Linked DNA regions of Lonchura striata. The protein of the gene in region 1 interacts with the protein of each later gene in a biochemical or structural test. Links are inferred from orthologs where the notes say so. Each region holds a gene or a part of one and is shown on either strand. Other genes may lie near its edges. The genes, in order: RC3H2 and KLHL6.

Region 1 (16,655 bases):
CTGTTTTGCCACTGCTACGAGACAGCGCAGGGAACATTCCTGGCCTGATTAGCCAGTGTCTGCAAACGCAACTGAAAAGCCATCATCAAGCACATTTAAAAAAAAAAAATATACACACACACTTCTGGAACTTGGTTAAACAGCCACTTCCAAACATGTGACGTTTAGGAATGAGATTTCTCACAAGCCTAAGATGAACAAGTGCAGTCTGCAGGTTCACACATTCTACTGACAATTGGGAAAGATAATTGTCTGCTTCCCAATGGGAATTCTTCTCCAGTCACAGTTCAAGAGCCTTTTAAAATCAGAATTCAGGTTACAATTAGAACATTTTATTTTATGAGAAGATGGCCCTAAATGGTGAAGTTGCTTTTAGAGTATGTATAGACTCCTAGAGAGTCCAAAGTTAAGCCTTACAATTTATTTGGGCTAAAATGAGGAAGAAAGAGCAGCACACATATTGCAACTGGCACGGAGAAGGCAACAACACCAAGTGGCAAACAAAGAGCTGCTTCAATCCTACCTGGGCTCCAACCAGCTGGAGGAGTGCAAAGTTCACAGGAAGCACATCGATGTCTGTGTTGATGGCAGTCTGGTCAAAAGGACATGCCTTGCGATGGAGCTTGTTCAGGCAGGTCTTGCACACGGTGTGAGAGCAACCTAAGCTGATGGGTTTGTGCACATTCTCATCAAACTCATTGTAGCAGATTGGGCAGGACAGAAATTCTGTCCACTGAGCTGCCTGCACAGGCATTGTGGAAGCTGGACACTTGTTTAGCAGGCTAGCAGACCATTATTTCACTGTACTATGTTTTGGCAGCTGTAAGTGAATAACAGAGTATTTAAAACATGCTTTCTGGCAATTTAGAATAACTTTTAATTAAAAAAACAGACCAATTTCAATATTACCAAGAACAAAACCAAATCTTTATGCTGACGTACTCAAAAACCTCAACTCTGGGTTAGTTTAACAACTGTACCAAAAAAGGCTCATGAACTAAATTAATGCAGACTACCCTAAGTTTAACTCATTCACAATAAATGGCATTAATTTTTCTTGGGGGGGAGGGGTCTGGTTTAGAATGTTATTTTCATTTCAAATTAAGTAAAACAACGCCTTCCTTCTGCAGATCTTATTCAGATTTAATCAGACACCAAACCAAGCTGAGCTTTGCTTTTTTAAAAACACATTTTCTCTTTCTGTAAAACACAAATCAACTAACAAATACCAAGAGCCATAAGAAAACACTAAAAGAGCAAGACCAGTTTTTAGTTTTATGATTTTTGTGTTACTTCTGCCTTTTCTTGTAAGAACTGGAGCAGTCAAGGGCAGAGATTGCTGTGTGCAATTTTGCTTTTCATGTTTCTACCTTACATATAACTATGTCCATGAACTCTCAGCAAGAAAATCTTTGATGTATATAAAACCCAGGTATATAGGACAAAATCTATGATGAAGCAAGCAATAACTTCAGATGGCTTCCTCATCTCTTGATATGTCTCACTCCGTGCAGTAGTACCAAATAAATTGTTTACATAAGTGTATTTCAAAGAAAATATGGCTTTATGGAGATTGTTGATGTATCTTATATAAGTCACATTCCTGAAAAAGGTACCAGGCCTAAGAAGTTCATCAAAACCGTTCTCATCCAAGCTTCCATCATCACCATTTACATTCAGAGCTCCACCCCGGAGGGAGTAGCCCCACCCTGGGCTGTGCTGCGCCACCGTGTTTGCTCTCTAGGCAACCTACAGACCAGTTGGGTCACTTCAAGGCTATGAACAAGATTGTTACAAATGCAAATACACAAATGTTTTAATTACATCTTTAGAGTTCTATTTTTTTTACTCTGATGAGAAAAAAAAGGCAATTGCTCCGAGGAACATGAGATCTCCCCTCTGTGTTCAAATTCAGAAACTCCTTACTGCAGTTCCATTGTTGGCTGTGCTATGGCTTAATTAATACTAAAGTACCAGACCATTGAAAGAATTACTAGAAGACCAAATAGACTCTTATCTGTGGATGTATTTTATGTTAATTATGACCATCTGTTGAGAAATCCTATTTAGTACTATGAACATTCAGTGCCCTTTAAGTAACAGGATACTTGTACAAGATGTCCTTATCTCAGCGAGCTTTTCAATATTATGCAGCAATTTTTGCCTCAAATGAATTCCCATAGTAAAACACACCAAACTGGAATCTGAACCTCTCAAAACCAAACTGCTGATGTTACACTTCCAACGTAAGCCAGAAAATTCCCATGTATTGGACAAATCAGATTTTCCTCTGGCTTCTATTGAAAGCACAGGCAAAGCTCTAGCAGGGATGAACACACCAAGTCATCTTTAACATGCTATTGCTGCATGTGTCTTTTAACCAAGAAAATTTAAAAGCAAAATAAATAAGAATGAAGCCAAACACTGAGCCAACAGGCCTAGAAAGATTTTTGATTCCTCTGCTAAAAATCCCACCATTTCCTTTAGCACATCTGCTTCCCTTCTGAAACAGTCAGACAAGAAAGAGATGCACAGAACTGCAGAGCCTGTCTGTAAACACTTCCCTTACAGCTTTCTGCAGCACTACCAGAAATATTAAAACACCAACACCAACGTTACTGCTGACCTAGGGCTGATAGTGGTGCTTTTTCACTTGACTGCAAGACACAGGTAACAGCACCAAACTCTCTGGGAAGTGTGTGACTGTCATGACTCACACCGGGAAAAGTTTAAGAGGCTGGTACACAGAAAGCTCAATTGCTAGTATGTCACTAACGAGCTCATAATAAACAGTCCCTGTGTCCACACTGCTCATTAATTATCTCAGATGCAGGGATCTCTGCTCTGAGACAATACCCACGTTTGGTTTCCACAGGTGCTTCAGAGCCTTGCAAGAAACTACCTCTCTGTTTGAGCTTTTAAAAAATATAGTTGTTTTCCTGACCAGCATAGAAATGAACACAACAGATTCTTCAAGTGTGCAGCACCGGTTTTAAAAAATCTATCTCTGGGTGTTTAATCATCCCAAATGACAGATTCTACTAAGCATGTGTTGACCTTCAGATTTCTTGACAGGAAAAAAATCTAATTAAGCCAGCAAACAGCTGGGAATAGCTCTCGACTCCCAAAACTTCAAGCAGCCATAGAGGGAGGAATCTCCATACTTTATTGAGCCTGCCAGCTCTCCTGCCACTCTAACACCCCAGTGTGTAGGAAAACAATCTCACATCTCCTAATTACCATGTCAACTCCTACAAAAAGCATAAGCCAAATGTTTAACAGATTCTTGCTCCTTGTCAGAAACAATGTATTTCAGGGATGTCCTCTTGAAGAACAAATTGCTCCAGCACTCTAAACTGAGCAAACACAAGGAGGAGAGCAAAAAAAAACAAGGAAGGTAAACTATTAATCCTTTGGATTCTGTTTTTAACAGGCAGCACACTCCATTAGAACAACTACCCTTGGCCTATCTGCTCATTCTGGCGGATTTCTTTACACTACACAGGGCTCCTCTTCCCTGTCAAAATAGAAGCACCCTGCAAAAAAAAAAAAAAAAAAAAAAAAAAAAAAAAAAAAAAAAAAAAAAAAAAACCCCAAAAAAACAAAAACAAAAAAAAACAAAACCAAAAAAACAAAGAAATGGCTGATACAGAAACTGGCCAGACATACAAGGAAGCAGTCTGCAAATTCATGGCAGTTACTACTTAACAAATCATTACATAGTGAAGTTACAATTAGTTTTGTGGCATTACTACCAGAAGCGATACTTCAGATGACAAACTGAAAATCGTACAAGCCTAAGTTCAGAAATTATGTAATAATAAAAACCAGTACAGCTGAGTAATGTGTTTTTAAAACAGTAGTATTTTCCTATTGCAGTCATGGCTGCAATGGATCAGAGTAACAATGATAACGGACTGATTTTCTCATTTTAGACCAGAATATCTGATGAAATTGGAATGTGCGGTGTAAGGGGAGATAAGTGAAACCTCAAGATCTTCCTCAAACAGCTGTACCACTTACAAATGATCTAAGTTGTAAGATTTAGATGTCCTTTACAATTTTATATTAACTTTTAGCTAACTAATCTAAATCATTATGCTTACTCAATAACCTCTGGACATGATAAACAGAATTCAATTCTGATTTCCTGAAGAAACCAAGCTTAGGTGATCATACTGTTCTGTCAGACTGCTCCTCTCCCACACTGCTCAGTCAGGGCATTTGCCAAAATGCAGACAGGCAAGTTTCACCCCTTATCACAGAAAGGGTTGATGGCTTAACTCGTTCCCCCCAGCATCAGCTCTGCCCGGCTCAGGCTGCCTCCATCAGGTCCCTTGTGGGCCTGAGCAAAGACAAATAAGCAGAGCTTGGGTGAGAATGAGGCATGGAATAATTCTGTCAGTGCTGAACAAAGGGAAGTCTTCTCCACAGATGAAGGAAACACTTGGAAAACGTGTGAAATTATATGGCATTTTCACATCTGAGGTTCAATTACAATCCTACTGTGGATTTAAGCCTAAATCTTAGAATTCTATTGATTTTGAATCACTAAATTAAAGAGTCCTTAATATTGACTTGCTCTTAATGCTGACTCCAGAGATCATGGAATTTTCTTTTCTTTTTTTAAAGCAATCTCCATTAAAATTGTTCGTTTATGCAGATGAATGGTTGGTTTGCACTACAAGGAGGCAGCTTTTCCCAGCTTTCCTTCCTAAGTTATGTAGTTCCTGAAAGCATTCTGACTGGGTCAAAAACTTACATATCACATAATACAATTATCAGTATTAATATATTCGCTGGAAGGGCTCTCTTTAACAGCCATCATCCACACATCTAAAAAACTGGCTCCATTAAAGGCTTGGGGAAGGACCCTCCCCACAACAGCTTTGCATCATTCAGCTATGATGGCTTGAAATTGAAATAAATCCTCTTTACTGAGGTGCCTTTTCTATGCCTACACTCCGTAATATCTGTCACATGCAAATCTCTTTACATGATGTGAAAATTTTCTATGTAAAGTCTCTAATGACCATTAAATATAGTATTTCAATGCAATTCTTTCACTGAACATTAATGCTCAGGAGTATCTGCAGCCCAATTCAAGCTCCAGGAAAGTCACCAATAGAAATTCTGGTGGAAAGGGACACACGTCCAGCTCTGCTTCTCGCAGGAGGACCTGACACTACAGCTCGTGTCCAGGAGCATCATCCACACGTTCCTGGTGCTCTGGCAGACTTGGTGCCACAACCACTTCCCTGGGGAGCCTGTTCCAGGGCCTGGCCGCCCTCTGGGGGAAGAGCTTTTTACCAATGTCCAACCTGAACTTCCCTGATAGCTTCACTCCATTTCCTCGTGCCCTAAATATAGATCTGAACGTTTACACGTACCCAGACTACGTTTTGCTGAAATGCCTACAGGATTCTCTTGTTAACTGGTTAAAAAAAAAATCAAAGCTTTAATCCCCTCTGCCTCCTTAAAACATGTGGCTGAAGAGTAACTCCTATCAACAAGGGTACGATATAAATTTATGGTCATGGTTGCTCAGTGACTGCCAGTGTTCACTCAATTTGGGATTAACTGCCCCCAAACCAACACCAGAGTCAGTGTACCCTCAGCAGTTCTCACCTGCTCAGTCCTTGCTACTGTAAATCATGTTAGTAGATATTAAAAGTTTCCTAAATACTTATGTAATGCCACTGTGGGTTTTTCCTTGCGTTTCCAAGGTGTCCCTGAAAGGAGAGCCTGTCCTTGCCACCAGCCTGATACCAACTCAGCTTCTGTAACAGTATTGACTTTTCAGGACTAACTGAAGGGCAAAAAAATGAAATTTTTTTTTTGCCACCCAAATCAGTTGAACTCTCTCTAAGCAGATCTACTTGGACACAGTTACTCCAAGAAGAGATACAGTGTAGAACTCCTAACTTCTCAGTAATATTTGCTGTGAATAAGGACTCTCACGTATGGTTTAGTTCTCCAAGCTTTTTTTTTTACATGACCTCCATGTTTAAATTATATTTTTTTAGATGAGAACTTCTGTATTTTAAACCATTTTATTGAAATACCAAGTCTATTCTGAGATGTAGGCAAGAAAACATAGGGCTCACAGGCGCTGGAAAACTTTTTTAAAGGTTGTACAGAATGACTTGAGATGCCCGCGGACAAATAATTTTTTCCTTTCCTTAGGGCTGTCCAGTCAGCAAAGAGAGATTCCCTGAACATTCATCCCATCAAAGATATATAAAATATCACCAAATGAAATGCAACATACTCCTAACAAATACTATCAGCTATTACCATCTGCTTATTGTAAATATTTTATCTATTTTAAAGCAACAAAGCCTTAAATAAATGAGATCACCACTCAAGATCAGGACTTCACTTTGGGATACCTAAAGCACTGACACTAAAATTTGATAGAATTTAGTATTTTTGAGAGAAATGGCCACAACCTCAAACAAGACAGAAATACAAGTTAATAAAAACACAAGTTAATAAAAACATCTTGGGGAAAGCTTTGCTTACAATGCAGAAACAAAACTTCATAAAAAAGGTGAAAGTCTTGGGAAAATGATTCACTACAGAAATTAAGATGTCAGTGTTTCATGGAATAATATTTATACCAGCAACAGAAGTTTAAATTTCTAGTATTTCCACAGATATTTAGAAAAGACCAAAGGTCAAAGAATAGTATTTTGATTCTGAAGATTTACGGCTGTACTGGTTGCTTCTCATTTAAAATTAGATCTCTTCTGCCACAACTGCAAATTTACACCCTTGTAATCCAAAGGACTGTTTTTAATTTTAGTTTTATTATTATGATGTAGCTATAATGGCCATGAGAGAACAACCACAAGAGAAGCTACAGGAACTACAATTAAACCCAAACAAAATTCTAAGTTGGCATGGCAATTAAACAGGCCTAGATCAGAAAATCTACTGGTAGCCCGTCTAAACTTTGTCATTATTTTCTGTCGTTACAGATCCATGCTATTCTCCTCTGAACCCTGCATGAACTGAACACTCATCACTCTCCCACCACTCTGCTGCCCTTCTGTGCTTTGTGCTGACTCTTACACTTAACTGGAAACCCTCCGTGCACCTCGAGCATCAGCAGAACCGGGACACGCTTTTCCTGCTTCGTTGTTTTGTGTTTTTGTGTTTAAGACACTTGAAACATGACACGGTGGGCGCAGTCCTGGGGCACATCTCCCACCACGACTCTCCTCCACCATTACCCTAACGCACAGCTCCATGAGTATTCCAGCCTGGCAATATCCATGGCTCCGGTGCACCTCAGCGCGGACTGCCCGGTGCTGCGGGTCCCCAGGGGGCTGCCAGGGAGGGGACCGGAGCTCCTGCCTGCGTTGGCCGGTGCCCGGAACGCCGGGCGGCCCCGCGAGTGCCCCCGCAGCTTCGCCCCGTCCGCAGGCCGCTGTCAGCCGCACCCGAGCCCGGCCCCGCTCCCGCACCAGGCCCGGGCCCTGCTCCCGTTCCGGGCCCGGCTCCCGCTCCTGGGCCCGGGCCTGGCTTCCCGTTCCCGCTGCCCGGCCCTGCTCCCGCCGTCATTTCGGAGCCGCCACCAAATGGCTGCCCGGGTCCCCGGGCCGGCCCCGCGGCCTGGCGGGGCCCGCCGGGCGCCGACACCGCTGCGGTCCCCGACGGGCCGCACCGGACGGGCTCAGCCCGCCGCCGCCCCCGCCCGGCTCCCGCAGCGCCGGGAGGCAGCGGAAGGACCGGGCTGCGTGATGGGGGGGGCGGAGGTGGGGGGGGGGGGGGCCCGGCGGGTCAGCGCGTCCCCCGCGGCGGCCGCCCCCGCCCCGCTCGGCGCGGCCCGTGCGGGGCGGTGCGGTGCGGTCCGTACCTGCCGGGCGGGGGCGGCGGCCGGAGCGCGGTCGGGCGGTGCCGGCCTCACGCGCCATGGGGCGGGCGCGCGGCCCGGCGGAGGCAGCGGCGGGAGCCCCGGCGGCGCCGCCTCATCGCGCTGACAGCGGCCCCGCCGCCACGCCCCGCCACGCCGCTCTCGCGAGAGCCGCGCGCCGCCCGCCGCGCGTGACGGCGCGGAGGGAGGCGGTTACCATAGAGACGGCGGGGCAGATGCGCCCGCCGCCAGGGCCGAGCCCAGCGGGGTCAGCGAGACGGCGGGACGGAGCGGCGGCCGCCGCCGCCAGCGCCCCCTGGTGGCGCGCCTCGGGCACAGCCGCCTCAGCGCTTCCTCGGTGCGCAACGTCCGCCTCTGGCCTCCACTACTTATTGTCCTTTTAAAATGTAATCGGTAACTTTCGCCGCTAGTGTCGATTATTAATTGTCGTTCTAAATCGCAATTGATTACTTAATTGCTGCTGGCGCTGAGGAGGAAGAGGGGATCGGAGGCGCTCTCTGGCCCACGCCGGCTGTCCCCGAGCCGCCTCAGGCCGGCGGGGCCCCGTGAGGTGTGGGGAGCGCTGCTGCCCCAGCACGGCAGCCCCCGGAGCAGCGCCCGGCAGCTGCAGCTGCTTCTCCGCTCACGCAGATAACACAGCCTACAACACAGCCAAGGTCACGGCGGTGCAGAGCTGTGACTCCTCAGGGGGAAGAATTCATGGCACAAGTGGGTCAGACAGACTCCTCTGAAGGACAGAAGAACGCGTTACTAAATGACCGCCACTGGAACACCGTGTTTTGTTTACTACATCTTGTTTACTCAACACAGCAAGCCAAAATAATAACTGTTAAGGTATGCATAGCATTATTAACTGCGATCAGAAAAAACGAGGTGTATTTCTGACACAACGCCTTGTTTGCATTTCATTTATTGTGTTATGACAGGGCATGGTTACATGTACAGACAGGGGAGAGTAAGCTCCTCTAAAGTGAACGTGCACAAGACCAGGGTTTGTCCACAGAGCTTACTGAGACACTGCAACCACTGAACAGAACATGCTGGTGGCCCGTCACACAACACAACTCCCTCTCATGTTTACATGCACGACCGAAATAACTTGGAACCTGTTCCCACAGAAGACACACTTCAAAAGATCAGTGTGTTTCCCCTTTGGCACACAGGGAAGTAAGTGCTCATGAGGGAAATACCCAAGCATACACCTGACCTTGCCTGTAACAAGTAGTAACAGGAACGTGGTAGACATTGTACATACCCCAACCCCTCACGTAGCTGATCAATAAAACCCCAAACAGGTTCGTGCATTCACAGACACGGGGAAGGAAAGTGAACTGACATTAAAAACTATTGTCTCAGATTTTAGAGCCAGCCAGATTCTGAAGCATTTGGGCCAGACTCCTGGACTCAGAGTAAGAACTTGGAACAGCACTTCTGAAACTCGAAGGAAAGCGCGATACAGAAAGGAGTAAGAACTACTGCTTTTTGCTAGTTGTAAGTACCATTATCTCATATTAACAACTGAAATAACTCTTTATTCATATTACATTAAGTGGAAGAAACAGGTACCAGCCAAAGACACAGACTGCATCTCAGGGCGCGCGATGCTCATGATGAAACTAAAGGGACCTTTAACAAAGCACGAACACAATTCTGCAAACACACCTCATTACTGTGTTACCGTGTCACAGAATCAGGGTATGAGACCTCTATGTCTAAGCCATTGCTAGTCAGACAGAAATGCCTGGTTTTCAAAATTAGCATTGAAACTGTGATTACCCAACAGCACACAGCTAAACTTCACACAAGTGCACATAGCTAAGATTTGTAAAAAAAATGAAGGCAGATGTTATGATGCAACAAACAGGACTAAACTTATCAAATACAGGTGCAAAACATTGGTATGACAGAAAAAAATCCCACTATTAGAAGAAAGAATTTTATAAAAATTCAGAACTTGATAAAAGTAAAAGCAAGTCCTTTTCACGGGACTGTCCAGTTACAAATAAACTGCAAGGCAATACTGTTCGTTTCTTTCTCTTTTACAAATTTTCTGTTTGCAAGACACAAATTGAAAGGTTCCTTGATTAGTTTTTGTTTGTTGTGTGTCCTTAAATGTCATAGACTTGAATATGAAAACACACCTTCTTCCTGGAAGATCTAGCAAAGTTTGGGCAACGAAGGAGATGATTTCACCACGAATGATCCAGGAACTGGATGGGAACTGGATGCTGAATAAATACAAACACCCCCTTCCCTCAGCTGCTGTCACCAACACCACAGTTCAGGCTTCAGCTTATTGCAGTATCAGTAATAGTCTGAAAGTCAGCAGTGCCTGCCCTTGAAACAAGAAATATAAAACATCATTGGGGGACTAGGATATACTCAGTATAATAGAAAAGAAGCATGAAATAATTTCCCATATTTTGAAGTTTACTTTCAACTAGGAAACACCTTTTTTCACTGACAGCAATAGCAGCCTTAACAGAGCAGGCAGGTTTCCTACTCCAAGGCCTGTCTTGGATCACCAGCCACCTGTTTATACTTCTCTCTCTTAAATGGGGATCTGGAACTGGAATTGCATGTCGAATTTCACTAGCCAGGAGATTTTTGTGGAGTCTGACTCCACAATTGCCCAGCTATCAATCATAGTCTATTTTAACTTTTGTAATAGTGTTCAGGTTTGGCTTTTCACTGCTGCTCCTTCCATGAACAGAAGTCAAGTGTTTTTTAAGAGCAGACTTGTGTTTAAAGTCCATGTCGCAGCAGTGACACTTGTAGGGTCTGTCCCCACTGTGGATGTTGAGGTGATCCTGGAGCGTGCTCTTGGCCGTGAAGGTCTTCAAGCACACCATGCACTGGAAGGGCCGGATCCCCATGTGCCCTCGGATGTGCCTGTTGAGATTCTTTTTTTGCGTAAACGTTTTGCCACATTGCAAGCACAGGAAGAGTTTGTGCATTTTCAGATGTCTGAGATAGTTCTCGAGGTGCAGAAAGCCCCTCGGACACTTTGGACACTGGTGCCGCCATGAGCTGCCAGAATCCTCCAGGCTCTGGAACCCATTCCCCCCACTAGAAGTTCCTTCTTGATTATCACCAACAAAAGCCTGAAAGTGATTTCCTGACATTTCTGTATTCCTGCTTTCAACTGTAGAGTTTATCAAGGAGTGCTGGGTTTCTGGGAAATATAAATTTGTTTTAGAGGAAGTGCAAGGCTGAGAAAAATGATCATTTTCTACGTTCGCCACATTCATGGAATCCATTCTAAAGATACAGATTTCATCATCCTTATACCCAATTTCCACTGTTGATATTTCTGGGGATTTTGTGTCCTTCCTTTCTGACACCAAGCTCTGTGGTGCAGGGTGCGGGCCATCCCCATCGCCATCCTCATCCTCCTGTTTCACGGGGTATTCTTCGTTCTCTGGGCTGTCTTCAGAGATCTCGATTACTTCACAATCTTTATCTAAAACCTCATCCCCGCTCCTTAGTTCAGCATCCGAGGAGTGGCACCCCTCAGCAGCCTGGGTACTGCTCTCCATGGAAGCGTCGATCTCCAAGTACTTGGACAAAGCCTCGGTGCACTTCTCCACGATGTGAACCATCTGCAGGTAACTCGCGGCCGTCAGGTACTTGAGCAGCTCCTTCTTCTTGACCTCCAGCGCGCCCGTGTAGCAGGACAGCAGCAGCTTCCTGCCCACCTCGGCGCTCTGCAGGATGGTGATCCGCACCTGCCTGGACTGGTTGAGCAGGAACTGATCCCGCATGAAGGTGGAGCAGGCGGCGAAGATCACCTTGTGCCCCTGGAACTCGGTGTCGTTGATGTAGATGGACACGTCGCAGAAGAGGTTCTGCTGCCGCAGGAGGTTCATCTTTTGCAGCACGGCATCGCCCTGCTGCTCGAACTGGAAGTGCAGCACCTCCGAGTCCGCCGCCATGGCGGGGCCCGCGGGCACCTCCGGAGCGTCTCGCCGGGCGCAGCCCACCCCGCCTCCGGCAGGACCCGCTGTCCCGGGGCTCCCGGGCCGCCTACCGCCGGCCGCGATCCCGCTCCGCCCGCTCCGCGGCCGCTCCCGCAGCCCGCGCCGCTCCGCCGCCGCTGCCGCAGCGCCCCGGAACAGCTTCCCCGCCCGCCCCTTCCGCCCGCCCGCCCCCGGTGCGCCGTGACCGCGCTGGAAATGAGAGGCGGCGGCAGACAGAGTTAGCAGCACGTTTATTAGAAGACTTGGCACTGCTACAGCGGCTGCCGCTGGGGGGAACCGCACCGGCACCGGGGCGCGCCTCGCCCACCGTTCGGTAGAGGTAGCGACGTGTCCGACCCCGTAAGGCATCCCGGGGAGCGACTACCGGGGCTCCTCCTCGCCATCAGCCGGGACGCGCCGGGGGAACGGCGAACCGCCGTCCCGAACGCCGCCGGGACGAGCTGCTGGCTTCTTCACGGCCACGGGACATCGCCCGGCAGCCGCCGACCCGCCTGCTTTGGTTATCACACGTAGTGTAAGACTTTTGCCCAGTCAGTGAAGAGGTAGCTAATGCTCAGTCCATCGATTATACAATCTCAAAGGAAAGGCGTTCTGTCCTTCCTTCTCGCCCCTTACCAAGTCGGGAGGCACCACTATGTCCCCCTCTTTGTTTATAAAAATTAACATTTAACGTGACTTTAGAGTTCTCTCAACAGTTTCAGTTTGTATCACATTTTGATTCTCCCTCCTCACTTGTACTCCTCCTCCCAGTGACTTCAAAACCATAATCAGCCCCACACAATTTCTGTTATTTCAACAAAAGTTCAGCGGCAGCTAAGTTTTGCCAAAAAGCTAGGGGAGAGAAAGACTGACACTTCAAATTAATCAGTTACTAACTTGCAAAACATGTCTTCTAAAAGAAAAATAAATTAAGGAAAGACTCATCCCTGATCTATGCAGAAGGCTGTGCAGTTGCAGCATGTGCTGCAGGAACACATGCTACACAAGCTACCATCACTCAGAGAAGTGGTGAGCCCAAACCTCTGGCAAACCTAAATTCTAAAAATTCCTTCTTCTATATAATATAAATAAATAAAATGCCAACTTAAAAAAAAAATTCCTAATATACTGAGGAGTTATTAAAATACTTCTGTAATAGACTTCAGTTATTTTTAGGATATGCAGGAAGTTGTACAGCACATTAAGTCGTGAGACTATCCACTTACCAGCAAATGGTATTCTACACAGTAACACACAGATTATGATAACTGCCATAGTCCTCATCTGAATATGCAGCATCAGTAGCAACAACCAACGGATCTAATCTTTCACTACTCGGGACATTGCAATGAAGACAACATTTTACATACATGGACAATTAAATTCACCTTATTCTATAACTGAGCTGCCTCTGCATATTCCATTTATCATAATTCTCACTCCATTTTAATCTGTAATTCAGAGAAGCAGCATTAGCCAGATTTTGCTTTTCTATTACCTCTTCTGTGCTCTTCACTTGTTTTTCCACATAGGGGCAAATTCTAGATGAACTCTACCACCAGTGCACTTTGCATCGGCGTGTTGCCCTCAGAGCTCCAGTGTTTCTGGAGTCACGCAGCCATCTCCTGCATAAATCTTTTGGTCTGCACCCTTTTGCCAGGCTAAAAGCACACATTAGTAAAAGTCACTTTTCATCCAACAGATGTGTCCATTTTCAGTGAAGAAAGTCTTCTGCATTTCTGCTTTTTCCTATTTGTTTATGCTGTGCTCTTGCTAAACGATCACAGCAGCCTTTAACTGAGCAGCCCAGCAGTCTTGACCTTCTCAGACGTCCAGATCACCACAACACAGGGTGGACTGAACACCCATGCATCTTGGCCAAATTATTTCTTTTGTTTCTTAGGAAACCCCTTGTCTCTTCATATCAGCTTCAAGTCATCCACAGCAACTTCAACAAGTTGTATTCTCCTTACAGTAACATGACAGCTTCATAATTTCATAAAAACCAAAACTTTCCAGATAGACAAGACTTTCAATACTGTCCATTTTGCTGCCATGTTTTCTAGCATTTGTGCAGTTTTATTCCTTTCTGTGGCAGAAGACCATTTTCTTTTTTGTGTCCATATTCATATTGCCTTGGATTGTTCACTAGTACCTTACAACACGTTGATCTGGCTCTGCAAGCTCTTGTTCTCCACGTCTATCTTCATTTTGACATAGCAGTATAACTTATTTCCATTTAGTGAATAATACATTATCAAAATGTTTGAACAATACAGAAGATTTTGCCTGAAGACAGAATGCAGGTGTCAGATGCAACTGTCACAGTGAAATTTAGTTCAAAACAACTCTGAAAGTGGGTGGCTTCAAGAGGAAAAACAGTTTTTCCCATGCAAACCTATCTTCTACCCCAGCAACCTGAACAATAATTTTAAAAGTTTCAAATAGTTAGACTTTAGGCCTAAACATATTTGCTACAACTTGAAAGATGAATGCCCTGATGTAATTTCCTTTGCTTACTTCATAGCTGTCCATATAAGAGTTCGTGTAACAGTCAAGTGCAGTAGTTCAAGAACTCAATTGCAAAAACTGATTCATAGAATCACCTTTTTTTTCTACTTCAAAGTATGTGGATATCTGAAAACGGTCTGCAACATTAACATGTTTTAACGTCCATCAGTGTAATGTCTGCGTAAGGAAATCCTGACTTCTACACACACAAAACCGAAGAGCAAGACCAATTTTTGATAATGACATACACAACACTTTTTGCTCTAACACACCTTTGGTCATACCTGTTTAACATTTTTAACCATACAATAGCAGCCTTTCATCCCCACCCCTCATTCAAACACACCACGTACTACGTTTAGGTAGGAAGCATAATCTCAGCCTCACGGCAAACCTTGTGGAAAGGAGCTGCACTGGAAGAAATCCTTATTCCAAACACAAACAGCAGTTCTCTGCGGAGGATCAGCCATTTGATTATTAGTCTGTGCTACACTTCAGTACTAACAGTGCTGTTCTACTGGGAATGGTGTGCCTCAGATAAATTAAGCTTCTTTCAGCCTGACTGGGATGCGGATAATTCCACAGCACTTTTGAGAAGCAGTATGGTATAATCCCAGAATCCAAATTAACATGCCATTCCCGCTACATTTGATGTTTAAGGCGGTATACAAGAGGTATTGCTGAGTACAGTCAATAGCTGATATATTAACCTATAGAAATTGTGCTACCTATATCTCATCCTAGGATCTGTAAAACACTAACGGTCACTTAAAAAAAGTTCAAGAAATCAAAAAACTTTACGTTAAGTTCTTATAGCAGGTATTTTTGTTTAAAGTTAAGTGACATGTGGCCCTTATTAGACATCAAGGAGAGACACACAAGAACTAAGGGGGGGAAAAGCAAAAAAAAAAAAAAATCATGGAGTTGTTACACATTGCAGCTTTAAAAAGATTCTTTTCACAGTGTCAAAAAGCAGTATTTCTCCACTCCAGCTTTGCTCTAAACCCAACAGCTGTTGTGGTTTGTGATGCAAAACTTACGGAAGATGGAGGATAACTTTTAGCTTTGAAGTGTTTAGCTTGTCTCAGTACATGCACTGGTAAGTGCCCTTTAAAAATCCCAGGTATGTCAGCGTAAGAACAGGTCACATTTGCACTCCAGGACCAGCCTCTCACATTCCAGAGCTGCAATTTATCCTCAGTTTGAACAGCTCTATGCAATGATCAGCTAACCCTGCCAAATCATTTAGGGTTTCATCTTTTCATAATGCATGTTGAGGTTAAAAACCCTGAGAGTTTTTAAGAGAGCATTGATTGGCAGCAGAAGTTTCTTGAAATAGGTTTAGAAAGGGCAAAAAAGTGACACAAAAATACTTCATTTCAACTGCAGGAGTCTAGGGGTAAGATCAGAGAAAGGTAATTTTAAGAGGTAAGTTTAAATTTGAGTATATGGAGTGTTTTCAGTTATCCAGTGCTTTTTGAAAAAAATATCGGGTTATCTCACACACTTGTCCTCTTTGCTTTCCTCCATCTGCCCAGACACAGAGAAGCCTCTAACTGCACAGCAGATGGTTTACTTGCAGCCCACAGCAACAGTCTTTCAAAAGGTGTTAGTCTTGAGTCTCCTAATCAGAGAGAAATGAAACAATTAACCCCTTAATCCACAGTAGAGACAGACAGAAACCTGAAGGATTGCTATTCACAGAAAATATCAAGTAAGACTAAGAGCGATGGCTGAAGACCTGCCAGGTTTTGCAATCCAACCATCTGTAGCCTTTCAGGGCACACCACTAGTTTAGGGAAATAGCCAAACCAACGGTTTGCTCCTCTCAGTCACGATCCCTACACAGGGCGAGTTTTAATTGCTTAATTGACGCAGGTACTATCGTTTCTTAAACCAAGCACAGCCTGAGGCAGCTTCCCTGCATCCAGTACCTGGCTGGCATCAGCCTGCTGACAGACCTTACTGTCTGTAGCAGTGCTACATGTGAATGAATCAAAGTCCACTGTTATGTCTTGCACGTTTCTTTCATTGGCATTGTCAAAGCTATTTTTACCGTGCAGCTGTTTAAGGTGTTTCCTCAGAACGGGCTTATGCGCAAAGACCATGTCACAGTAGTTACACTTGTGGGGCTTGTCCCCACTGTGCAGGTTGAGGTGGTCCTGTAAGGAACATTTCTGAGAGAACGTTTTCCCACAGATCTTACATTGGAATGGTTTGATGCCTGCGTGCACTCTCATGTGCCGGTGGAGATTGCCCTTCTGAGTGAACGTCTTGCCACAGAGCAGACACATAAATAGTTT
Region 2 (16,127 bases), on another chromosome or scaffold:
AAGTTTATTCCTGGAATAAGCTTATGTTCCAAGAGTAACAATATTTGCCAATGCCATCCTTATTTTTTTGATAATTAGACAAGCTAGTAAATGACCCCATGTAAACCAGTGGTAGAAACTGTACCATATGATGGTCAAAAAAAGAAGACAGTCTGTGATCTGCTGAGTGCCCTATACAGAGTGTCACTCCTTCTTGAAAAGAGTCCTGCTCCCTTCTCCTGTTACCAGCTCCAGAAAAAAAAAAAATCTCATTTGGCTTCAGAAAGTTGAAACTGGACTTCATTCTTTTGCTCTGGGTCCACATGGGTTTCTGGTCTGATAGACTCAGTCCTGCAGAGAAGCAAACAAAGCAGCCTGGTGCAAGTCAGCAAGTGGTGAGGGTACAGGGCATGCTGACCATCACATTGGCTTCTCTGCCTGAGGTCTTCCCAAGTAAGGCTGAGAGGCTTTACAACCCAAGAAGGAGATCCGTGTTGCCAGCTAGCAGAATGCCACCACAAGGAAGGTAAGGAAGGACCACGCTGATTTTGGGGCCAACATTTCTAAGCTTCACACAGTCAAAAAATCAAAGCAGAATTCGGTCACAGCTCTGGAGCATCACTCAGAGTGTGAACTCATCACAGTTAGGTATGTGCAAAGAACTAGCTGAGATCTACAGGCCTCATGAGAAATAAAAGTCAGCGTTGCCTTAGACATCAGTCAGAGACTAGGTTCATTTCCCATGGTTTGGGATCACACTGTGAGCTTTTCAGATGCCTATTCAACAAATATTATGATTAGACTCAAGAACTCAAACTTTAGTCCAGGCAGAGTCCCATTAACACCAAACAAGCTCTAAAACATGGACCTCTACATAATTCACTGCAATGGCAGCTTCCTCCAGTTCCCAGCTCCTGCCAAGCAGAACAGCTCTCCTTCATTTCAAGAGCTGCTTTGTTGGTCAGGCTTTGTTAAGCTGTGGGACAAATGTCTGAGCTATGGCGCTGTTGCTCTGGCCAAGGCTGTGTTCCTTACCTCGTGTACCAGAACCTGGCAGCAGCAGCACATCAAGGTGCACAGAGAACACATCAAATATCACTGAGCACAACAGGCCTGCATTTCTTCTAGCATGGACCTGATTCCTGACGTCCAATTATGGAGATCAAAGGTATAATTTACTTAGAGGAAGAATTATTTTTGCATAAACAGCCACTAGCTAATAATACAGAGAAGATGCTAATAAATTCTAATGGGTGGCAGAGCAGACAACAGTAGACAAGTGACCTGAGCATCTTGCTACATAAAATTAAACAAGAGGGAGTCTGATGCTGATGACAAAACCTTTTTGTGAGTAATGCTGGCAAAATCTTTTCGAGAATAACTCAACTCTAAGTTAGAAAAAGTGAGATTCTTCTTCCCTACCTGAAACTAACTTTAGGACCTTCTTTGCATCTTCACAAACAACAAGAAATGGAAGTAACTGCTGCTATTTTGTTTCAAACACTGATTATCTTGAGGACAGAAAAGGAGGAACGTTTGTCTGTTGTCTTGAAAAACCTGCAATAGTGTAAGGTGTTGACGAAAGGCTATCCTTCTTCCAGGGAGGAGGAAAGGACTGTTCTGACTGGGGAAGGCTTGTTACAGCTGTCCTCAACTGCCATGGCTGGTACCCACTGCATTTCTTTTGGTTCTTACCTACAGCTGCATTCCTGGCCTCAGCCCTTCAGTTTCATTTGGATGCATCTCATCTTGGGCTATAAAATCTTAAAATATGAGTGATGTGTCAGCTTGCTCTGCCTGCTGCTTTGGGAGTGACCATACTGCACCCCCAGACTGCAATTCAGTTGTTTCAAATAGACCAAACACTAATTTAAATAGCAGCCTTCCTCCACCACTCCCTCAAAAGCTAATGAGCAGGGCATCAAAGATTCTTGAGCTCAACTTGCCCATCCACACATCGGGGTGACCTCCATAGCCTGTAGCACACGTGGGAGCAATATAACAACCAGACTTCAAATACTGAACCCAAATAATTTGGCATTTACAGCTTGGCCAGCTGGGACCTCTCTGTTATACAAGCTGAAAGCATGGTTTGGAGTCACTCATCTGGATTGTTAGCACATTGCCTGACTATCCCGAAGGAAACAATACATGGAAGCAGCAGTTTTTCTAGAAAGATCCCAGTGACTTAAAATACATGCAAAAACCCTCTGAGAGCAAAAGATGGACAGGTAATAAATGCAACACTGTAGGGTAACACTGCAATCGTCTCTAAAAAATTTTCAAGAGTGAGGGTATGAGACAGGCCAGCTTCACAAAATCACCATTGTTTGCTGACTTTGAACAACTGCAGCTGCCCAGAGGGAGGGATATGAGAAGTCTCAGCAGTAGTTTTTGAAATGGAAGGTGGCGCTGGTTCAGCAGAGGAAGTAAACTGCAATGAAACAAAGATTCCAGTTTGCAGTTTACAGAAAATCTGATCCAAAAGTTCTGTATGTATTTTCAAAAACTGAAATCCCATTTGTTCCCCCATAGCTAAATTAAGAACGTGCTATTTTGAGCAAGTGAACCTTATCCCAATGTACTGAAAACACAGACAAAAATCCAGCAACTTTCCAGGGTTGACAAGATTATCTCAGGCTTCAGCTATCTTGCTTTGCACTGTGCTAGAAAACAGCTGATGGTAAGATGAGCCCTGATACGTGTCCAGCTGCAGTCCCCACCCCTGCTCCCACACCAAGGAACTGTCTCTGCTACCCAGCAGGGCCCTCTGTGCTCTGAGGTGTTTTCTGTAGTGCTTATTGGGATGCACAGTGGAAGAATTGCAGTGTTTTTCTACTTGAAGGAGTCAAAACCTTGCCAAGACCTTTCTTCTGCTGTTGTGTCCTTGCTCTCTTGGAGGCAGCACCTTTAAGAAGGTTCTCTCCGATGAAGGAACGCTGCCCCACAGCCCTCAGGAAGCATGGTGAGGCCTGGAGATGCAGCTGTCAACATGTTCTTGGGTGGCTTCAGCTTTGAAAGCTGCCTGGAGTGTAACAAGTGGAATAGCCTGGAACAGGAGACACTTGGTCACAGAACACACAGACTTGGAGTATCATTTGTGGCAGCAAAATGGACATGGTCTGGAATAAGAGGAAGAAGAGAAACAACAAGGACCACTTTGTATGAGCTCCAGGTCAGAGATATGAAGTCACTGCCATCTGCAAGTTCAGCAACCTGCTCATTACTTAGAGTAGGAAGTTTCTAGATCCCATTGTGATACCATTGTGGCTCCTCTCAGACTCATCTGGTCCCTAAGGTCTCTGTTAGCTAAAAGTACAAGGATGTGGGAAGCAAAATAAGTAACAAGAACTGTCAGGAATAGGTTCCTGTATTTCTACCTTTGTTTAAAGAATGCCTCAGCTCCTTGCTCTTGATCCATTCTTGGTGGGTGTGATTTCTTCTGTCCCTCCTCTTAGTCATGGTCCCAAGTCCATGACTTTTTCCTGGGACAGCCTGAATCTTTCACTTTACAAGATGGGAACCAGGACTCCTGGCTAGTCTAGGCAGATTCATGTGTCGAGGTCAAACTTTACAGGGCTGAAATGCCACAGTGATGAGATCCTGGATTCAGGAACAGACAGTTGAAAATGAGCAACATTTAAACAGGGAGCATGGTCAAGGGGGTAGAGAAGACACAGAGGTGAGGAAGTCATGGCAGGATGGAATGCAGCCTCTGAACTCAGCTCAAATGCACTGTGCAGATTCACAGGTACCAGCAGCAGCCTGTGATGTTACAGGGCTCTGTAAACTTGCTATGACACAAGAGAGGGATATACATTATTGGCACAGTAATTCCAGCCAGGTAGTTCTCTCAAGCTGATACAGAGCATACACAATATGTTCAGTATTCCTAAGATAGGAATAGACAAACCAGTCATGAACAGACAAGCCTTCAGCTCTTACCAGTTCATTTAGCTAGCAGGTAATTCTTTACTGAAAACAGTATGAGAGTGCAGACAGAACAAGTCCCTAAAGGCCAAATAGAAGAATGTATCTGGAAGCTTCTACCATGAAGTAACAAACTGGATTTACCCCAGGATTAAATAACATGTTGCTACTGCAGTCTTGGGCCAGAGAGCACCTCAGGAGAGCAGCTGCCTGGTTGCTGTTCCCTTATACCTGCAAAGACACAACACTCACCTCAGCATTGTCCTCATGCTAGCCCAGAGAATGAAATTAGTTACTACATTTGCAGATTAATCCCTGAGCAAGGGATTCTCTGAACACAGGGCAGCCCAATGTGGGGCACAGAGGGCTCAGATTTTCACTGGGATGTACTAGACTGAATTTATAGCTGTTATTGCAGTTCAGCTAGTAATGAGCAGGCTGCTGTGCCTGTCACAGGACTTGCTTGCCTGCCTGTAAATTACATTCTGGTGCTCATTGGTAGTCCCTGCTGCTGTGCTGCTGATGCACTGTGCACTGTGTTGTGCCTGGGAGCACTTTGGTGACAGCCATGGTGATGGACCTGGGCTGGCAGGTGGCCAGGGCATCGCTGCTGTGTCTGTGCTGCTGCACTGGGCAGGCTGGAACTCCGGTGGGAACTGGGGTGGAAGGGACTGTGACCTGCAGGGACCTGGGGTGGAGACTGTAATGGCTACACCTTTGTTGTAAGCCATGATTTGAGTTGTATGTTACGGGAATTAGTGTAACAGGAATCACCCAAATGAATGGAGGGAAAGCCTCCAAAGAAGCAGCTGCAGGGCAGAACTGACCTGACCTAAGATGGCCTTGGTGCCCAGGACCTCTCCCTTACACAGCACCTTGCCTGTCCCAAGTCACCACCAGAACAGATGGAGCCCAAAGTCACGAAGTAAATTAACTGAAAGGACATTTTATGGACATTTGGGGAGATTTTGTGGGCATTTTTCAAGGGAAGCACACAGACTAAGGGATTGACATCTGTGCATTATATCCAAGGGTGGGAGGTGGGGTGGTGATTAACGAGGGTGCACTGAGGAGTGTGGGACCTGAGCATGATGAGAATGATATGGAGTATGGGTGGAATGTGTTTGTTTTGTTTGGGGTAGGGTTGATTTTCTTCACAGTGGCTAGTATGGGGCTTTGGTTGGATTTGGACAGGGTTGATAATACAGAGGTGATTTTGTTATTGCTGAGCAGGGCTTACACAGAGCCAAGGCCTTTTCTGCTTTTTGTACTGCCCCACCAGTGGGAAGGCTGGGAGTGCCTGGAAAGTTGAGAGGAGACAAAGCCAGGACAGGGGACCCCAACTGTGTGGGGAATATCCAAAGGGATATTCCAGGCTGTGTGAAATCATGCTCAGGATGTAATGTGGGGGGAAGGAGGAAGGAGAGACGTTTGGAGTGATGGGGTTTGTCTTCCCAAGTAACCATCATGTGTGATGGGCCCTGCTCTCCTGGGAGTGCTGAGCACCCACCTGCCCATGGGAAGCAGTGAAGAGAGTCCTTGCTTTGATTTGGTTATGTGTGGCTTTTGCTGTGCCTATTAAGCTGTCTTTATCTCAACCCATGGGTTTTCCATCTTTTGTCCTCCCAGTTCTCTCCCTGGTCCCAGTGGTGGGGGAGTGAGCAAGCTGCCTGGGGCTGGGCTGCTGGCTGTGGTTAAACCACAACACCATGGCAACAGAAGAAAGGAGGGGAGGTGCTTGTCAAGAAAAAAACCAGAATTTAGGGGTTAAAAATACACCATAAGGGTTAGCAATGACACAGAAGGAGACAGACTGTGGATAATGATTACTGCTAATAGTCAACAGTTCCTTGAGCTGCTGAGGTCCTTCCTGCAGTGCAGTTACTGACAATACCACAGCCATCGACCTAGTTACTGCAGGGTTTCCGTTCCCAGCAGCCACAGCCAACACTGACTTACTTCAATTTCACCATTATTAATGCTTTGCTTAAAGCTTCAGCAACTGGAATCAGGTGATGCTGTGGAATCTCAGCTTTCGCTTGAACAGATAAGCACAATGTGAAGCTTCTCACCCTCAGAGAAAAGCCTGATAAGATGAATTCCCAAAGGTCAGAAGTCAGGATGATAAACAAGGAGAACCCAGCCCAAGATAGGGTTAAAGTATTGTGGTTTTTAAAGCATACCTAGCACTTTTGAGAGGTTTGGTAATTTTCTCATTGTATTCCTACAGGAGTATTTGGGAAAGAAGGAACTGGCTTTAGAAAAGGAAGCATTCATTAGCAAAACTTAGCACAAAAGGCAGCAGGAGCACATTTAAATCAGCTGGGAAAGGAAAAGGCCAAAAGGCTTCACAGGTTACACAAAATGAAGAAAGCCCCATTACAAGGAGGTAGAGGAAAGCAGGCAGGATATTTTTTGCTTTCCTTCCTCTTCATCTTCCAATCTGACTCTCTCAGACCCTGCTTTGACCTCCTTCTGGAAGAGGGGGAAGCCAAGTTTCCCATAATACTGTGAGCTCAACTTTACAAGCTGGAGACAAAGAGGAATCCAAACACACAATAAGAACCTGTGGATTGGCCAAACAAGGATTCCTAGAGGTAATTATCACAAAGGCAAGCTTGGTTAGCAGTCAAGCTACCGAGGTGAGGACTGGTCCTACATTCCTCTCAGGGGGAGATAAAGGTGTGCTTTTCTACTTCCCAGTGTGAGTTTCCTAAGCAAGCCAGGGATTTGCTCTGGTACTCTCAGTAGGCTGTGATGCTTATTCATTCAGCTTGGATCAGGTTCTCATCTAAGTGATGTCCAAGTAGATCTGGTCCATCCTTAGGTGACAGCGAAACCTTCAGCACTGTGCTCTGTGTGCTCCTGCTGCAGGCTCAGCCCCAGAGCTGCCCTGCAGTGTCCCCACTGCCAGATGTGCAGCCTTGGTCCTGCTACCGTCCATGTCTGTCTCGGGGACAAGTCAGATGCAGCTGTGCCTCAAGCTACGCCCATCAGTGAGGATGGGGGGGATGAGCATGGGCACACTGCTCCCCAGGCTCTCTCCCTGAGCTTTCAGTGCTGTCAGAGCTGATGGCAGGGCACTGGTGGCATGGACCACATCCCTGTGCCCAGCAGTGGAGCCTGAAGACTGTCAGCTGTGAGATCTTTGATGCTGGTCCACGTCCTTGAGACAGTTGTGCCCATTTAGCCTTAAAGAAAAGCCATGCAATGGTTGCCAGCTAATAAAAGTCATGAGGGACAGAAACATCCATTTGGAGGACTTTCTGAATATGCAAACGTATTACTAAAATCCAAAACTAAACCCCAAGCCAAATCAGTTATTAATAATTTCATGCCTGGAAAAAGAAATAAAGAATATTACTCTTTTCCCCTTAGCAGCCTGGTCCATCAGGAGTGCTTGATAGGCATGTGGTGCACCCATCAATAGAACCAGCAGATAACAGTGAGGGACTGGCTTGAGGCTGGGAAGCAGGCTGTCCCTGTCACTTGTAATCTTCTCACATCCAGAGGCATCTTAAGGCCTTTCTAAACACGCTGATACTGCCTGAAAATCACTGAAAAAACCCAGCCTCTGTTTGTGTTAACAGGATGAGAAAGTGCAAGGCTTCCTGTTATGTGTGTGTGACAGCTACAGATAAGCAGAGACCTCTGGACAGGAAATCCGCCCAACTTCTGCAGTGTGATTTGCCCGAAGCTGAGGAGCTCTTTTTAGATCGAAGCACCAACAGAATGAGACAGGGCTGGCCAGAAAATGGGGGACACGCTGGAGAAGAGCTCTGAGGAGCCCGAGATCTCTTTGAACAATGAGTGTTCGACGAAAATGGGGGACCTGGTGGAAGTCTCCAGTGGTGAAAAGGTCAAGTTTGATGATACAGGTCTCTCTCTGGTGCTCCAGAATGGCCTTGAGAACCTTCGGCTTGAAAATTCCCTTACTGATGTCATCCTGTGCGTGGGCAGCAGGGAATTCTCCTGTCACCGAGTGGTCCTTGCTGCAGCAAGCAATTATTTCAGGTAAGGTTTGTAACAAACAAAACCAATACACTTATTTTGCTTCTTAGACTTGAACTGTAGGTCTTCAAGGAGTGCAAACTGGGTGTTAAAGTCTTTCAGTTTTTTTTAAAGTTGGAGACTTAAATAAGGCAGGTGCTAAGTTGTGGATTTGCTGGAGTTCTGATACCAGCATTCAAAAAGTCTGCTGGAGGCAGGCAAAGGAAAACAGAATATTGGCAGACAAGTGCATGAAAAAAGGGTGTTTTGACCAAGCATCTTTAGCCACTTGTCTTGTCCTTTTGGGACCTGAGCAAAGAGGAATACTCATTCAGATAGCAGGGTATTTTTATTGAAATAGGAGTGGGTTTCTGGAACTTGCTAATTTTTTCTGTTACCATTCTCAGGTAAAAATATATATTGCATTAAATTGTTGAGGAGGAAAGAGAAGGAATTTTCCATCTGGAAATCAGTTGCAATGGGAAATATCCCCTTGAAAGCATTTCCTTCTGGTCCACTTGAATTTTTCATTCTTTCAGTACAATAGATATTCTATCTGAGACTACTGGCCAATAAGAACAAATTTTAGACACACAGAGGAACTTAGTATCAGCTTTAGCACAGATTTTCCATATAATTTAGACAATATCATTTAGACCATCACATTTGCATGGCTGGGATTTTTTTCTTTCTTTCATTTACTGCTAAAGTGGTCAGATGACTGAACAGCTACAGGGGAAACACGAGAAAAAAGAACCTGTGACCACTTGTGACATGAGCAGAGAGCTAATTTTATATGGAGTCTGGTAAGCTTTGCTGGTAGTGCCTGGAAGAACAGTTCTGCTTTTCTAATCTAGAGTAGAGATTGTGTCTGTGAATATTTGGAGACAGGTATTATTTCTACAGAGAGACTACATTTATTGCATATGAGAAAATATACAGCTAAAAGCAGAGATGTCCAAATATATCTTACCAGCATTATGTGTGTAATGGACAGCAGATGCACAAATTAAAATCAAAATTATCATAATGATACTTTGACAAAAAACTCCAATTTCACTATAAATAAAGATGCTGCAGTCAGAAGGATTTCCCAGTTAAAACCAGGCAAGATAATTTTATGAGAACAGCTGTTGGCCAGCTCTCCACTGAACTTTTCCTGAGCTACAGCCTGTCCCTTGGAAGGAAGGAGGATACCTGGCTGGAGCTCATCTCATCCCAAGGCAACTGCACACGTGTGCAGGGTCTGCCCCTCTGGGTGCTTCTGTTTGGCTTGCCTTCCCACAGAGCTGAGATTTATTACATCTCACTGTCTGCCAGTGCCTCTTGTCGTGACTCTTTGGGTTATTTTCAGTCACATTTGGCACAGGATGGAGGTCTCAAACCTGAAATTCCCGTGAGTTTGATGGAAATTTGCAGCTAGGAGAGGAGAGATGCTGGGCTGGCACCCTTGGTGTGCTGCAGGGTAAGGAGCAGGGTGTCCTGGCACACAGTGCCCAGAACAACCACACTGCCCTGCCCTGCTGGGCACAGCCAGCACAGGGCTGAGCTCATGCAAGGGACCCTGAAGTGTGTCAGAGGAGTAAGGAAGGAGAATGGAGGGCTCAGGAAGAGGAAGCTGAGGTTACTGGGAGGAGGGAAAGAAGGACACAAGTCTGCAGGGAACTGAGCTTTGCTGGCTCTGCTGCTCACAAGGAGCCTTCATTCATCTTGCCATAATTCTCTAGAAGCTGCATGGCCCCAGAGAAAGAAGGAATTTGTAAATCCCACTGTTCCTGTGAGCACTTTCCATGCTATTACAGCACTCCTAACAGCCATGCACAGGAGTAAAGCAAAGGGACCCAGTGACTCATGGGCTTCATTCCCCTGCCTGTTACACAACCCCTTCCTGAACGCTGGGTGCCACAGTGTGGGCAATCCACAGCAGCTGGCTGGAACACACTTTAACAAAACTAACCACTTCTAGGTTAGCTTTGTTTAACTAACTTTGTTTAACTAACTAACTTTGTTAGAAGGCTTCTTCTGGCCTTTTTCAGCACTACTGGAGAGTAGATAGACTAATTCTTGTGACATCCTGCACCCGTAGACATAAAAACTGTTGCTCTCCATTTACCTCCATGATGATAACAGAGCAGAAAAGAGAAATACCAGCTGACTAAGGTGGAACAGTAGTTCTTTAATCCTGCACTGCCCAAGAGTAGTGAGAGAATGAGGTTGAATCCATTTTCCAGAGTATCCTCGAGCTCCAGCATGGTTGTTTGAAGTCAGGTTCATAGTTCCAAGCACAAGCATTCCTATGTGGGAGGATGCTTAAAACGTGCTTCACAAAACTGCAACCCATCATTTATTTTACTGAGATTTCTCTGATTTTAAATTAGAAAAAATTTAGAATTTTTTCTAAAATTACCCATTTTTGGGTATCTAACTTTGGCACCGGACCCTTAATTCAGATGTGCATTTCTTAGAGTACATGTTGGTTCAAATGTGCAGTTTAGAATCACACAGGGACTAGACCCAGGGAATCATACAATGGAATTAGTAGCCACATCTGAATGATTTAGATCAGAATAAGGATAAATTCAGAAAGATTCAGAGACATAACTTTAATCCTTAGGAGAGAAGCTCATCCTAATCAGCCTGAGTGGTGTCAGGTGCTCCCCTTCCAGCACACAGGGTGAGAACAAGAACCACTCCATCTGAGCAGAAGGAAGGCCACAGGAGTCAGCTCTCCTGTGCAGCACTGCCCAAATTCAGCCCTGCCATGATCTAGAGCAGAGAACTGGTGGGAGAGCACCATGCTTTAGAAGTGTGGGTCCTGCAGCTCACAGCTACACCCTACGAAATTGGGAGCGGATGGCAGCTCTAAACCAATGACAAAGATTAGGAGACAGATAGGCCAAAGCACTTTGAGCAGACCCTGTGCAAAGGCACCAGCAGAAGGCTGAGGCTGGTTTCTGAGCAGCCTTGCCCAAGTGTCACACTGGGTATCTCTGACTGACCCTAGCAAACTCTCCGCTCTGTGGGGCAGAAGTGAGACTCACCTCCCCGACAGGGATGGGTCAATACAAGTCTGGAGTCACCAGCTCAAGAGAAGAAAGGAAGAAGAGCAGACACCACCTGCACCCTCCACGGGCCTGTTTCTTGTTCATGTGAGACGTCCGCAGCCATCAATCCCGCACGACTGGAACAGCTCTCCCGTGCCAGCCTCCCTCTCCGGGCTGGAGCCCATTCCCAGGGAGCAGTGGGAACTGAGGGCTGCTCTTTTCAGATGGCCACCTCTGTCAGAGGCCCACACATCGCCTCTTACATCACCTGACAATGCCAGAGGGAGGGAAGCTAAATGAATCTCAGTCTTGTGGTCACCAAAGTTAAGGAGCATTTGTCTAAATGCCTTGAAATATTCTGGTTTCAGTAGCAGCAGAAGCTGGACCATGAGGCAGGACAGTGAAGCAAAAACCTCTAATGAGCTGAGTGAAAGGAAAAATGAGAATTTTGGCTGAACAACTTTTCTGACAAGTAACTTCTCTGCCCAAATTTCCTGCTCAAAAGTTAGGCCTCTCTATCCAGAGGCAGTTTTGCACACTGAGGTAACTAAGACCTTGCTATAAAATTTCTGCTGAGGTAAGGAACAGGTAGTTCTTAGAGCAAGTAGCAGCTGGTATCTTCCATCCATTTGCCATTCATCGTGCCTAACTGCTTTGCAATAAAATCTGTTTACGTCTTGGCTCCAGTAAGATGTGTCAGTCAGACAGCTTAATTCAGGCACTTCTTTTACAAGAAAAGCATGGCCTAAGACTTGGGACCTCTAGACATTTTCCAGGTTGCATTGTCCTGTCAACATTGTGTGTGACTAATAAAGAAGGCCTGGAATGCAAGGTAAAGAGTACTTCTAATTGCACTTTAGATCTGCACATGTTTTTCACCAATGCAGTTACAAGAGGACTCACGTAATTCTGATCTGTTGAGAGAGATTCCAAATAATGTGACATTTTGTTCTCTGAATGCAGTGAACAAGAAGGGGCTGATCAAAATCCTAAGTAAAAGCAAAAAGCATTGGAAGAAATACTTAAATCTATAAATTGAAAATGCAGAGGAAGATGTGAGTGTTTGTCCTGCAGCTGTCACAATGCAAAATGGATGAAAATTCCCCTTAGAGAATTTCTGATTTATACCCCACATGAAATATCTGCCTAGTGCCAAAGGTATGCCTTGTGGTCATCTTTCAAATGCAGTATTATTCATCAAAGAAGAGTTGCTATCTACATGTATGAAATTACTGCATTTTCTGCCTAACAGTAGTTCCAATTCATGCAAAGTCAATTGTTTCTCTAGCCAAGAGGTACCAACTCTACAATCCCAAAATTTAGAAGAAAAGTCGGGTTCTAAATTAGAAGAAAGCCATAAGCCATTCTCCCCTGGCCCACCACTGGTGTTAATGTGGCCCAAGAGACGTTGGGAAGCTGAGAAGTCAGGCTCAGACACGTGGCTCTGCTCTGGCCTCGGGGCTCAGTCCCAGCAGAGTCCTGCAGCTCGGAAGCAGGGGGGCATTGACCTGCCAAGGGGTACAAAGCACATGGGCTAATGAAGTTTGGAAAATTCCACACCTTAACGAGCTGCAGGACTCTGCACTAGAAACACAGCAAGAGGCCAGCAGGTGAGAGAGCAGCACTGCTCCAGTCCCAGCTGCCCTTTGCTGCCATGGAGCCCTAGGTCTGCTGTAGAGGACAGCTTGGAGGAATGCATCATGTGTGTATGCCTTATCAAACTCACGAGTACACAGGAAGAAGAGCAACAAAAAGATATTTTCTTGTTTCTTTTCAACAGGAGTAATTGCATAAAATATGAAGCAATCAAAGTATTCTGTGTTGAAATCTAAATAGCCCAGTGTTTTCAGAATGCCTCATCCTGACTGGAATGCAGTAAAAGATAAATGTCTTTCTTTCCAGGGCCATGTTCTGCAATGATTTAAGAGAGAAATATGAGGAGAAGATCATACTAAAAGGAGTTGATGCAGAAACCATGAATATACTCTTGGACTACACTTACACCAGCAAGATGCTCATCACAAAGCAAAATGTACAAAAGGTCTTGGAAGCCGCCAGCCTCTTTCAGGTACAGATAACTCAGATGCACTGACCCAATCTCACTGCTCTGGCAACACCGTGTCTTACTCTGGTTAGCACACTGCAAACTTCTCTGATTTCATGGGTTCTGGAAGCATTTTGCTTCATATTTACTTCCATTAAAGTAAAAAATGGCAGTGGTAGCCATGTACTGGAATTTTGCTGTGCTGAGTGCCATGCAAACAGGAAAAGAGCCTGGCTGTGTCTCCAAGAGCTGCTCCCATGTGCTGCCTGCCTGGCAGTGCTCCCCAAAATTCAGGTCAGCCTGTGAAGGCCAGTCAGAAGGGTTAGTGGGCAGCAGCTGGCATGGCTGGCCAGAGCAGGAAATTACTTTGCCTTTCTGTCTCCCCTACCCTGAGATGAAGGCTTGCCAGACAAAGTTAGCATCCTCCTTTGTAGAACTCGTGTGTAAAGGGTTTTAGTCATGACCTGGGATTTGTGGGAGGCTGGAGTTGGTCAGTGTTACTCAACCTTTGGTCCATGAGGTATTCACGTGTCCTGTAAATCACCTGTGAGGTCTACCTAATTGCAGTGTCTGGTACCATGCTGCAAATTGCTAACAAATTGTAACCAACATAACCTGCCAAGTGCCAATGTGCATGTGTGTGTCCATTCCTCTCATTAGGGAAGGCAAGAAACACCCAACTCTGTGATCATTGTGGCCCATGAGGGAATTCAGGTTTCTGAATCTACATGGAAATTTTGCTCTGCAGTTCTGGAACTCTGCTTTCTAGCACCCCAGTCCTGTGAGGAGCAGCTGAGGGGGCTGGGGGTGCTCAGTTTGGAGGCTCAGGGGGGACCCTATTGCTCTCCTCACCTCCCTGACAGGAGGATGTAGCCAGGTGGGGATCAGGCTCTTCTCCCAGGTAAAAAGTCATAGGACAAGAGGAAATTATCTCAAGGGATAATCTAAACCAAGGGAGGTTTAGATTAGATATTAGGAAAAAATTTCACAAAGGTAACTTTAATGTCACCTGGGTCTGCATTGCATTTTCCATGCACCAACACTACCAACTGGCAGCATTAAACAGCTACATTTGGTTCATTTTCAGGACACTTTTCTATCTTGTTTTTGTTTTCTTTTGAAACAAAAGGATCATTCCTCAGCTTTTTTTTTCCCCTTTTTTTTCCTTCTGGAAATATCTAAAGTATAAACTTATGGTTTTTCATGTATCCTCCGTACTTTTCATTAAAATTAAGATTAAATTTGATTCCCAAGGCTGGTGCTTTAAGAAAACCATCAAACTCTGTTAGAATAATGATAAAATTATGAGGTTACCATAAGTAAGAAAAGTAAACTATAAAAAACTAGATAAACCTAGAACACCAGAAATATTCAGCTAAAAACTTTTGTTGTCTTGGATACTATCAAGTTTTATAAAGCCTCATTATAAATTTATAAGGCCTCTCATTATAAATGTGAGGGTTTGGGCTGAAAATGTGTTTTGTGCAAAAAAGATTTAGTAACTACTAAATCTTTAATAATCTGCTATATCAAGCTGACACAACTAGAGTTCTGCCAGATTGTCCGTGCTATTCATGCAGCAGAACAGAGTTGAAAGTCAAATGTTTCATTTGGATATATCAACAGCTGAAAAGATAATTTCTGCAATTTATTGTAACATTTTTGTTTGATAAATTCTCTCAAATTAGTGACGTGAGAAATCCAAATTTCAAATAGAATCTTTTTATCTGACTAGAAAGAGCTTGTAGCAGTGCCTCTTTTTAACCTTGTAGACTTGGTAAAGAGCCAAAAAAGAAATAACTTGCACAGTTCTAGATATTGCAGTATAGATATTCCGATGTAAATTATCTACTTTTCTGTAGAAACTGTTTTTGAAAAAGTTGTACATATTTATATCTTTCTTTAGTCCCTTCTAGCAAGTTTTGACCAAATGCAGTCAAAACTGGCAGTAGGAAGAGGTGGAGGGCTGTTTGGAGAGAGCAGCGTCCCTGCCACGGTGGGGGAAGCAGGTGAAGGGTTTGGAACAGCTGAACAGCTAAGCCTCACCCTCAAGTGAGCCAGACAAATTTTTTCCACCTAAAGCACAGTTGCAACATGAGTTCAATAGTCACCTCCTCTGTCTGGGCTGGTGGCTGCCCAGCCACTGCACTTGCAAGGCTGGTGCCCACCCTGGGTCCCACCCAGCAGCCTCTGCCACCCACACTGCCTGCAGAGCTGCTCATCCTTCACCCTGGCAAGGGTCAAGATCCCAGCTGCTTCCCAGGACCATGGCAGGGAGCCCTGCTTCCCTCACCAGAACTCAGCAACAACCTCCAGACCTGTCCACATGCTCCTGCCCCCCAGGAACCTCTGTATGACCCATTCCCTCAGCAGGGCTTGCTGAGAGACCACATCAGCTGTGGTGGTGGAAGCAAAGAAATGGCGAGAGGGAAGCAGACTTCTGAGCAGATGGAAAAGAAACTCTGTTGTCACCAGAGGCTCTGGTGCCCACTGCCATAGAAATGCCAAAGGCTCTGATGCCCACTGCCATGGAAATGCCAAAGTCTGTGATGCCCACTGCTATGGAAATGCCACGTGCAGCGGGAAGAGTGGAGGATGCCCCGAGCTGCCCCCTCTAAGCAGGGCAGGGCTGCTCTGCCCTCAGGGCATGGCTGAAGCACCACCAGCCTGATGGCCTGACTGACCCCCAAAGCACCCCTCATCCCTGGATTAATCCACTTCAGATGAGCAGACACTCCAAGGGAAACACGGCTCCAACACCTGACAGCCATCCTGAGGCCACCGAGCAGGGCAGAGCCAGGCTGGCAGTGCAGGCCACGCCGGACAGGAGGGCACCATTTGCTACCGAAGGCCTTCAGGGCAGCTGTGGGTGGGAGAAGGGCTGGCAGGCTCAGAAAGCCTCCACTCCCCAGAGAGCAGCCCTGAGGGGGCTGTGCCCCTCAGCCGGCTCCCCTGGGCTCCCTGGGGCGCAGGTGTCACCGCTGGGCCAGGACTGCTGTCCCTGCAGCCACAGCACAGCCGGTGGTGGCCCAGGGCCACCAGCTGCATGGGCAGGATCCGGCCCCAGAGCGTGCTGCATGCAGAGAGGGATTCTGAGTGAGAGGGATTCTGAGTGAGAGGGATCCTGAGTGAGAGGGATT

What was found.
Region 2: the proteins of RC3H2 (region 1) and KLHL6 form a complex in vitro, tested with the Homo sapiens proteins (2 studies listed by BioGRID, with this or other methods). The link is inferred for Lonchura striata from reciprocal best matches to the Homo sapiens genes RC3H2 and KLHL6.

Annotation. Positions count from the first base shown.
Region 1 is NC_134624.1:9,906,380-9,923,034, forward strand, and holds the start of RC3H2 (roquin-2), read right to left. Parts: upstream 7,940-16,655; 5' UTR 7,865-7,939; intron 7,433-7,864; exon of another isoform or gene 7,085-7,432; intron 821-7,084; 5' UTR 755-820; coding exon 524-754; intron 1-523. Other genes in the region: ZBTB6 (zinc finger and BTB domain-containing protein 6), read right to left, coding at 10,522-11,817; ZBTB26 (zinc finger and BTB domain-containing protein 26), read right to left, coding at 16,218-16,655. UniProt on the Homo sapiens protein: Post-transcriptional repressor of mRNAs containing a conserved stem loop motif, called constitutive decay element (CDE), which is often located in the 3'-UTR, as in HMGXB3, ICOS, IER3, NFKBID, NFKBIZ, PPP1R10, TNF and in many more mRNAs.
Region 2 is NC_134612.1:3,013,364-3,029,490, forward strand, and holds the start of KLHL6 (kelch-like protein 6), read left to right. Parts: upstream 1-7,558; 5' UTR 7,559-7,663; coding exon 7,664-7,923; intron 7,924-12,845; coding exon 12,846-13,011; intron 13,012-16,127. UniProt on the Homo sapiens protein: Involved in B-lymphocyte antigen receptor signaling and germinal center formation.